2 linked regions of the Coturnix japonica genome follow. The protein of the gene in region 1 binds, or shares a complex with, the protein of each later gene. Links are inferred from orthologs where the notes say so. Each region holds a gene or a part of one and is shown in the gene's direction. Other genes may lie near its edges.

Region 1 (4,244 bases):
TCCACATGGGCTCCAAAATAAGGATGTCACCCTCCACCTATGGACACGAACAGCCAGCATGGTTCTGCTCGCTTCCAGATTCCTTCCCTTCCACATCAGATCCCTGGCAACATCTTTCAGCACAGCCCTGAAGCTCTCCTTGTTTCACTTCACCCCTTTCCTCTTGGCTGGCCAGTCTCCTCCGGTGGCTGCGAGCAGCTGCTGCTTCACAGACACACAAGAAACCCCGACATCACTGAGCAGCCAGACCTTTATGGAAGCATTTCCCACTCCCACCCTGCCAGGCAAACGGAAGCCATGCATAACAGAATGATGTACCTGTGCCATAAAACAGGATGCAGCACCTGTGATTTTAGGGACTTCTGCACATATTTAGCTGAGGAAAATTCCACCAGGCTCTGGATTTTCAGTTTGTAACTGAGTTTAGAAGGGACTGCAGTGCTCTGGTTAGAACCCAAGGGCTCCAGCTGACACCACCACCAATGTTATGTTATGTACTGTAACATCAGCGGGTGCACTTTATCAGTTCTGAGAGCAGCTCACAAGGCATGGCAGTACTTATTGATGGGAAAAAACGTGCAGAGGAGCAAAGAGATTGTGTCTGGTTATTCAGCAGGCTGGATGCAGCCAGGACTGGAATCCAAAATAACACAGTGCTCTGCACCAATAACTAGAGCACCCAGCAGCCCTCACTGCAGGGCTTCCCCTGCTACCCCCTCCTCAGAGACACCCTGTGTACAAAGAAACAGCTTTGTTCTGAAGTGTATGATACTGTGGGATGGGGGAAAAGTATTCCCAAGAGTAAAACAAACAAACAAAAAACCCACAAAGCCAACGAAAACCAACCGGGCAGCACAGGGCTGGGATCTCATTTATCCAACAGCTCCCACGTGTGAATAAACCAAGTAATGCAGCCACCCAACATGAAGCCTGAGCCTGTTCTCAGCAGCTTCACTCGGCTGCTTTGAGCTCCCAGCTGCCACATCCCTCCATATAACGCACATCACTCCGCCCCACAATCAACCAGCAGGTCACAGCTCCACCACACACAGCGCTTCCATTCCCAGCTCCTTGTGCTCCCTCACACTCCGTTAATCACTGCCACCAATTCCAGCAGCCAGCACAGCACACACAGCCCCGAACACAGCGAGGGACCGACCCCGCCGGGCACAGCAGAGCTGGGTGCTGACACCGCCACAACAACGGCACCTTCACACACCGGCAGCTCAGGCCCAGGCCGTACTATGGCAGCAGCTCCCCGCTCCATCCACCCATTATGTGCCTCGTACCTTCACCATCCACCAGCTCCGCTGCCCGGTCCCGTCCCGCTCCTGGCTGTTGTTTACTCTCCACACGGCTCCGGCATCGCGGGGCGGGGCTGCAGGTTCTCGCAGCTCTCGGGGCATCGTGCAGCGCTGCCGGGCCGGGCCGCTGCCCCGCCATGGAGCCGCCGTTACCGGAGCTCATCGTCCCATCGTTGTTGTCCCATCGCCGTCCCATCGTTGTTGTCCCATTATCGTTGTCCCATCACCATCCCGTCGTTGTCCCGTCCCGGTCGCACCGCGGGGCTGTGGGGGATGTTGGAGCCGCCTACAGCCCCCACAGTGCAACGCGCGCCTCGCCGCACGGCCCCACCGCCCCGCACATGCGCACAGCGCTCTATGGCTCCAAGATGGCCGACACGGCGCCCGGCGGTTCCGGCACGGTAACGGCGGCTCCTCGTCGGGCCGCGGGGTCGTTGTGGGAACGGCCCCTCCGGGCGGAGCGGCGCGGCCTGCACCGGGAGCGGGACACTAACGGCTGCGGGCTGAGCGCGGCGGCTTTAAGGGGGAGCTGAACGGAGGGAGGCGCTGATTGGCTGCATGGCTGCGTGGGGGCGGGGCTTGGCGGCAAGCTGTGATTGGTCCGAGCTCTGATGCAGCGTTTAAAGGGACAGAGCGACTATGGGGGAACGTGTGTAAATATGGGGATATGAGTATGGACAGGCACTGCTTGTAGGGCGCTCCTAAGGTAAAGCCTCCTATTTATTCGCATGGAAGCTGCAGCAGGTACAGCACAATCATACTGTGTGATCAGGTGTTTGCACATCTGGAAAGCACTGCTGTTTAACACGGTCACCACCATTGCCCATATTGGCACTGGAGAAGAGCTGCATGCTGCACTCATACTGCTGGAGTGACCCACTGTTATCACTGGAACACGCCGCACTGTGCTCACAGCGGCTGCTCTGTCTCCAGAAGCATCTGCCCTCATCCAGGAACACAGTGATTCTGTGCTTCATTCACACTCCTTCATTACACACCGTTATGTCCAGCTGCTGCCACCTGTCACACAGCAATGTAATGTACACAATGTAATGTACACAATGTAATGTACACAATGTAATGTACACAATGCTGGCAGGAAGGTTCAGCCTTTACCCCGCCTCCAACATCTAACCCTGATGTCGACATCATGAAATAGGAGGCATTACTTTCAGAGCAGTCCTCATGTGTGTATGTCTGTACATGTGTGTCTGTGTAGGTGGGTCTGTACTGTGTGTAGGTAGGTGCTGTGTATGTACACCCGTGATGTGTGCAGGGACAATGTGTGAGCACAGAGCGAGTGCTGGCAGCTCGTCTGGGGCTCAGGTTCAGTGTTTTGGGGTCTGTGTCCACAGCGGTCGGGCAGCAAGCACACGACCACGCCAGCAGATAACTACTACCTGGCCCGAAGGAGGACACTGCAGGTGGTGGTCAGCTCCTTGCTCACTGAAGCCGGCTTTGAGAGCGCTGAGAAGGCTGCGGTGGAAACACTGACAGAGATGTTACAGAGCTGTGAGTGTCGGGTGCCACCAGATTTAGGGCAAAATCACCTTGAAATCGGTTCACATTTGCTTTCGCTCTTTCTGTTTTTCGTTTGTTTGTTTGGTTTTGTTTTAACTCTTTAACTCCCGGTGCTTTCCATGATGTTATGATGTGCAATAACAATAACAAAAATCATAAAACCATGACACTAGATTTGATCAAAAGTCAGGTGTTGTGCTGACACAAATGTGTGTTTGCTGCCTGAAATGAACATGGAATGTGAATAAAATAAAATGAACATGTAATGGTTGTTGGTGGTTTTTTCCCCTCCAGATATTTCTGAAATTGGAAGGAGTGCAAAGTCCTACTGTGAGCATACAGCCCGAACACAGCCCACGCTGTCTGACATAGTTGTTACTTTAGTGGAGATGGGTGAGTAGCTGACTCATCTCACTCATTCCACATACATACAGTGGGTGTTCTGTGTTGCCATGACAGTCTGTTCCTGGTGTAGTTGTGTGATGTCGGCTGTTCTGGGTTGCACACAGAGGCTCCAGTATCACTGCTGTTGATGTAGTGTGTATGCACACAGAGTACATTATTTTCTTTCTTCTTGGTGTGATTCCATTTTTCTCTTCTTCTGTATTTCAGGGTTCAATGTTGAAACACTTCCTGCATATGCAAAGCGCTCCCAGAGGATGGTGATCACTGCCCGTATGTGAGAAGTCCTTTTCTTGTGCAGGAAACCATTTGTCTTTTCTATCTGCTGGCATCCAGAGAGCTGCTGCTTTTCTCATGGATGGTGTAGTCCATTGCTCCGGGGCACTCAGTTTGTGTTAAAGATTCCTGTAATTATGATGTAGTAGGTGAAGGAGAGTGTCTGTCCTTTGCCAAACCTGTTGCTTTTGCTTCAGTATCCTCATTGCACATGAGAATCCTCAAGGTGGTTCTCCTTGTGTAGGAGGGGTCATGTAAGCCTTGTTCCCTTTTGGGATGCCAAATACAACCTGAAACTGTTGCTTGTGTCATATGCTCATGTAGTGCATGTGCTTTTTTAACCATAGCTCCTGTGACAAATCAGCCCGTGACTCCCAAAGCCCTGACAGCTGGACAGAACAAGCCACATCCATCCCACATCCCTGGCTATTTCCCTGAGTTTCCAGATCCTCACACCTACATCAAGACACCAGTGAGTGAAAAAAGACTTTTGTGCCATTTGGTTTCTGTCTGAAGTCAGTAATGTTAGGAAAGGTGCATGTGCATTCTTATTGTAGTGCTGTTCCTGAACATTGTTTCTGCTACCTTGGCACAATGCTTGTCATTTGCATATTGTACTTGCTCTAGTTTTATAGCTGATATCTGTAGCTGTTTGAAAACGTGCACATGTTGAAGGTCAGTGCTTGCCTGCATCCTATTAGTGTTTTGAACTTGATCTGTCTTCACTGAATCTAGTGACTG
Region 2 (4,082 bases), on another chromosome or scaffold:
GTAACGGCGGCCCCGGGCTCCTCGTGGCTGCGGGGCGGTGTGAGCCCCGGGGGGGGGTCGGGTTTGGGGGGGTCCGCAGCACCTGCCCGTCCTCAGCCCCTACGTGACCACGGTGGGCGGCACGTCCTTCAAGAACCCGTTCCTGGTGACGGAGGAGGTGACGGATTACATCAGCGGCGGCGGCTTCAGCAACGTCTTCCCCATGCCCGACTACCAGGTGCGGCCGGGGGCGGAGGGGCCGCGGGGGGGGCTCCCCGGTGCCGGCGCTGATCGGGCTGATGGAGCTGATGGAGCTGCCTCCCCCAGGCCGATGCGGTGCGGAGTTTCCTGCGCTCCGCCCCGAAGCTGCCGCCCGGCTCCTACTACAACAGCAGCGGCCGCGCTTACCCCGACCTGGCCGCGCTGTCGGACAATTACTGGGTGGTGACCAACCGGCTGCCGCTGCCCTGGGTGTCGGGCACGTCGGTGAGCGCGGGGCGGCGGGGCGCGGCTCGGGGCCGTCGGGTCCCGGTTCGGTGCCGTCGGGTCGCGATTCAGTGCCGTCGGGTCCCGGTTCGGTGCCGTCGGGTCGCGGTTCGGTGCCGTCGGGTCCCGTTCCGGTGCCGTCGGGTCCCGGTTCGGTGCCGTCGGGTCCCGTTCCGGTGCCGTCGTGTCGGTGCGCTCCGCCCGGCGCTGAGCCGTGTCCCCCGTTGCCCCGTTCGTTCCAGGCCTCGACGCCGGTGGTGGCGGGGCTGCTGGCGCTGATCAATGACCGCCGCCTGCAGGGCGGGCAGCCGCCGCTCGGCTTCATCAACCCCGCGTTGTACCGGCTGCGGGAGCGCGGACACGGCGCGGCGCTGTTCGACGTGAGCGGGGCGGGGGGCGGGGGGGGGTCCCGGGGGGTGCGGGGCGGGTCCGGTCCCAGCCGGGCTGTTCGGTCCCGTCCGGTCCGGTCGGGTTTTGCTGACCCCGCCCCGTCCCCAGGTGACCGTCGGCTGCCACGTGTCGTGTCTGGACGCTGCGGTTCAGGGCCGCGGTTTTTGCGCCGTTCCCGGTTGGGACGCGGTGACCGGGTGGGGGACGCCCAACTTCCCGCAGCTGCTGCGCGCGCTCACGGCGCCGTGACGCCAATAAAGGCCGCGATACGAACCGTGTGTGCGGGACCGACGGGACGGGCGGCCAATGGGGAGCGGGGACGGGAGCGGGGCGGCCAATGGGCAGCGGGAGGGGGCGGGGCCGAGGGGGCGTCGCGTCGCGCGCAGGCGCGTTGCGGAGCGGCCGGAGCCGTCGGGGGGGGCGACATGAGCTGCAGCAACGAGAGCGACCCCGGCACCGCGGTGCCCGCAGCGCCCGCAGCGCCCGGGACCACCGGGACCACCGGGGACAACAAGCACAGCCCGGCCGCGGGCGGCAGCGGCGTCCCCGGGGCGCCACCCAGTGCGGCAGGAGGAGCGGCCAGGGGAGCGGACGGGGGAGCGGCGGCGGGGAGGGGACCCGGTGAGTGCGGGGAGGGGAGAGCGGGACCGGGCCGTGATGGACCAGGCCGGGCTGGACCGGGCCGTGCGGTGCCGGGCCGTGATGTGCCAGGCCGTGAGGGACCGGACCGGGCCGTGCTGTACCGGGCCTGCCTGTGCTGTGCCGTGCTTTGCAGTGCCATACCGTGCGGTGCCGGGCCGTGCCGTGCTGTGCGGTACCGTGCGGTGCCGTGAGTCCCGCTGAGCGCCTCCTCCCGTAGCTCCCGTGTCGGCCGCGGCGCCGCCCGAAGGAGCGATGTCCAACGGCGTTTACGTGCCGCCCGGCGCCGCCAACGGGGAGGTGAAGCCGGTGGTGTCGGGGACGCCGCTCGTGGATTTCCTGCTGCAGCTGGAGGATTACACGCCCACGGTACGAGCGGCGCGGGGCGGGCGCTGAGGGCGGGCACCGGCACCGGGCACCGAGTGCTGAGCACCGGGCGCTGAGCGCGGCTCTCCCTGCAGATCCCGGACGCCGTCACCGGGTATTACCTGAACAGAGCGGGATTCGAGGCCTCCGACCCGCGCATGTGAGTGTAAAGGGCGGCCGGGGGGGGGGGGTGCGGAACGACCCCCGGTGCCGTATCCCCGCCCACCCGCCCGTTGTTGTGCCCGCAGCATCCGGCTGATCTCGTTGGCCGCACAGAAATTCATCTCTGACATCGCCAACGACGCGCTGCAGCACTGCAAGATGAAGGGAACGGCCTCGGGGAGCTCCCGCAACAAGAGCAAGGTGGGTGTGATGGGGGGCACTGCCAGGCATTGACCTGGGTCACAGAGTCACAGCGTGGCCTGGGTTGCACAGAACCACAGTGCTCATCCATCCCAACCCCCTGCTGTGTGCAGGGTCACCAACCAGCAGCCCAGGCTGCCCAGAGCCACATCCAGCCTGGCCTTGAATGCCTGCAGGGATGGGGCATCCACAGCCTCCTTGGGCAACCTGTGCCAGTGCGTCACCACCCTCTGGGGGAAAAACTTCCTCCTCAGATCCAACCTAAACCTCCCCTGTCTCACTTTCAAACCATTCCCCCTTGTCCTATCACTGCCCACCCTCACAAACAGCCGTTCCCCCTCCTGTTTATTCGCTCCCTTCAAGTACTGGATGCCCACAATGAGGTCTCCCCGCAGCCTTCTCTTCTCCAACCCAAACCAGCCCAGTTCCCTCATCCTTTCCTCATATCAGAGCTGCTCCAGCCCCTCTGCTCATCTCAGTGGCCTCCTCTGGACCCTCCAAGAGCTCCATGTCCTTCCTGTGCTGGAGGCCCCAGGCCTGGACTCAGCACTGAGATATGAGCTCACAAGAGCTGAGTAGAAGAGGACAATCCCCTCCCTGTCCCTGCTGGCCGCCCCTTTAAATGCAGCCCAGCACACAGTTGCCTTCCAGGCTGCAGGCACACACTGCTGCCTCATATCCAGCTTCTCACCCCCCAAGTCCTCTGCAGGGCTGCTCTCAAGGAGACTTTCCCCCAGTCTGTACACACACCTGGTGTTGCCCCAACCCAATGCATCACCCTGCACTTGTCCTTATTGAACCTCATGGGAGGCTGATGTGTGCTGACTAAATGGGAGGGAGCGTGGTGGGCAGGAGGTGGGCAGTGCTGTGTATGGAGATACTGCAGGGCCACCCAGCCCTGATGGCACCAAACTAACGCTGAGGGAAAAAGATAAAGGGAGGAAGCGTGTAGAAATAGCTTCTGGAATCCACACAGCCCCAATTGTGGCTTAGGGGCAGTGCAATAGATGCGCTGAGTAATGCTCAGTGCGTTTCTCTGCTGTGGAGGGCAAAGAGCAGATGCAGCTTTCAGGCACTTGGTGCTGGTTAATGCCCAGCCACTGGGCATCACACACACATGGACTGCTCCAATGAGGGTCAAAACCCCAACCAAGGGCTGAAGGCACGAGGTGTCTGTGCTGTGTTTGTGTGCTATGAGTGCTGTGTCTGTGCTGTGTTTGTGCTACAAGTGATGTATCTGTGCTGTGTCTGTGTGCTATGAGTGATGTATCTATCTGTGCTGTGTCTGTGCTGTGAGTGATGCTGCCCTTTGTCCCCAGGACAAGAAATACACTCTGACCATGGAGGACCTGACGCCCGCCCTGGCGGAATACGGCATCAATGTGAAGAAGCCGCACTACTTCACGTGAAAGCAGGGCTCGTTGCTGGGGACTTTTCTAGGGTTTGCTTCTGCTCCATTAAACCAATGGGTAGTTTTTTTTCTGGTGGAAAGACCCCCCGTTTCCTGCCGCCCTCCTGCTGTCAGTGCAGCAGCAGCATTTGGCCCACGGAGTTCTGCTCTGCCAGCACCAACAGAAGGTGATGGCTGAGGGCTGCACAGCAGGGAACTGCAGCTGCATCTCCTGGAGGGCTCAGCCTGCCCTGAGCTGCTGCAGGGCTGTGGGCATCGTGCAAACAGAAGCGCCCAGCTTCCTCTGTGCTTTCTTTCCCTGTAGCATGTCTCGTAAGAGGAAGGTTCTGGGGCTGTGACGGCTGCTGCAGCTGCAGCCAGGCTCCTCTGCCTCGCTCTGGGTTTGGCACAGAGCAGCTCCAGCGCCCAGGGCTCCATGTGCCAAGGGCAGCCCTTCTCCCAGCAGCCT

What was found. Proteins that work in one complex are often made in the same cells at the same time.
Region 2: the proteins of TAF8 (region 1) and TAF10 are in contact, whole or in part, in a crystal structure (PDB 4WV4), measured with the Homo sapiens proteins. The link is inferred for Coturnix japonica from reciprocal best matches to the Homo sapiens genes TAF8 and TAF10. Residues at the interface, in NP_612639.2 of Homo sapiens: Arg33, Thr36, Leu37, Val40, Ser43, Leu44, Leu45, Ala48, Gly49, Phe50, Glu51, Ser52, Ala53, Glu54, Ala56, Ser57, Thr60, Leu61, Met64, Leu65, Gln66, Tyr68, Ile69, Ser70, Ile72, Gly73, Arg74, Ala76, Lys77, Cys80; in NP_006275.1 of Homo sapiens: Pro115, Leu116, Phe119, Leu120, Leu123, Tyr126, Thr127, Thr129, Ile130, Pro131, Val134, Thr135, Tyr137, Tyr138, Leu139, Ala142, Gly143, Phe144, Glu145, Ser147, Asp148, Arg150, Ile151, Leu154, Ile155, Leu157, Ala158, Ala159, Gln160, Lys161.

What each region holds. Positions count from the first base shown.
Region 1 is NC_029541.1:4,766,661-4,770,904, forward strand, and holds the start of TAF8 (transcription initiation factor TFIID subunit 8), read left to right. Parts: upstream 1-1,417; 5' UTR 1,418-1,441; coding exon 1,442-1,705; intron 1,706-2,659; coding exon 2,660-2,816; intron 2,817-3,119; coding exon 3,120-3,218; intron 3,219-3,437; coding exon 3,438-3,500; intron 3,501-3,850; coding exon 3,851-3,975; intron 3,976-4,244. UniProt on the Homo sapiens protein: The TFIID basal transcription factor complex plays a major role in the initiation of RNA polymerase II (Pol II)-dependent transcription.
Region 2 is NC_029516.1:173,986,089-173,990,170, forward strand, and holds TAF10 (transcription initiation factor TFIID subunit 10), read left to right. Parts: upstream 1-1,237; 5' UTR 1,238-1,280; coding exon 1,281-1,476; intron 1,477-1,714; coding exon 1,715-1,863; intron 1,864-1,955; coding exon 1,956-2,020; intron 2,021-2,108; coding exon 2,109-2,223; intron 2,224-3,542; coding exon 3,543-3,632; 3' UTR 3,633-3,710; downstream 3,711-4,082. Other genes in the region: TPP1 (tripeptidyl-peptidase 1), read left to right, coding at 97-217, 307-465, 708-845, 964-1,104. UniProt on the Homo sapiens protein: The TFIID basal transcription factor complex plays a major role in the initiation of RNA polymerase II (Pol II)-dependent transcription.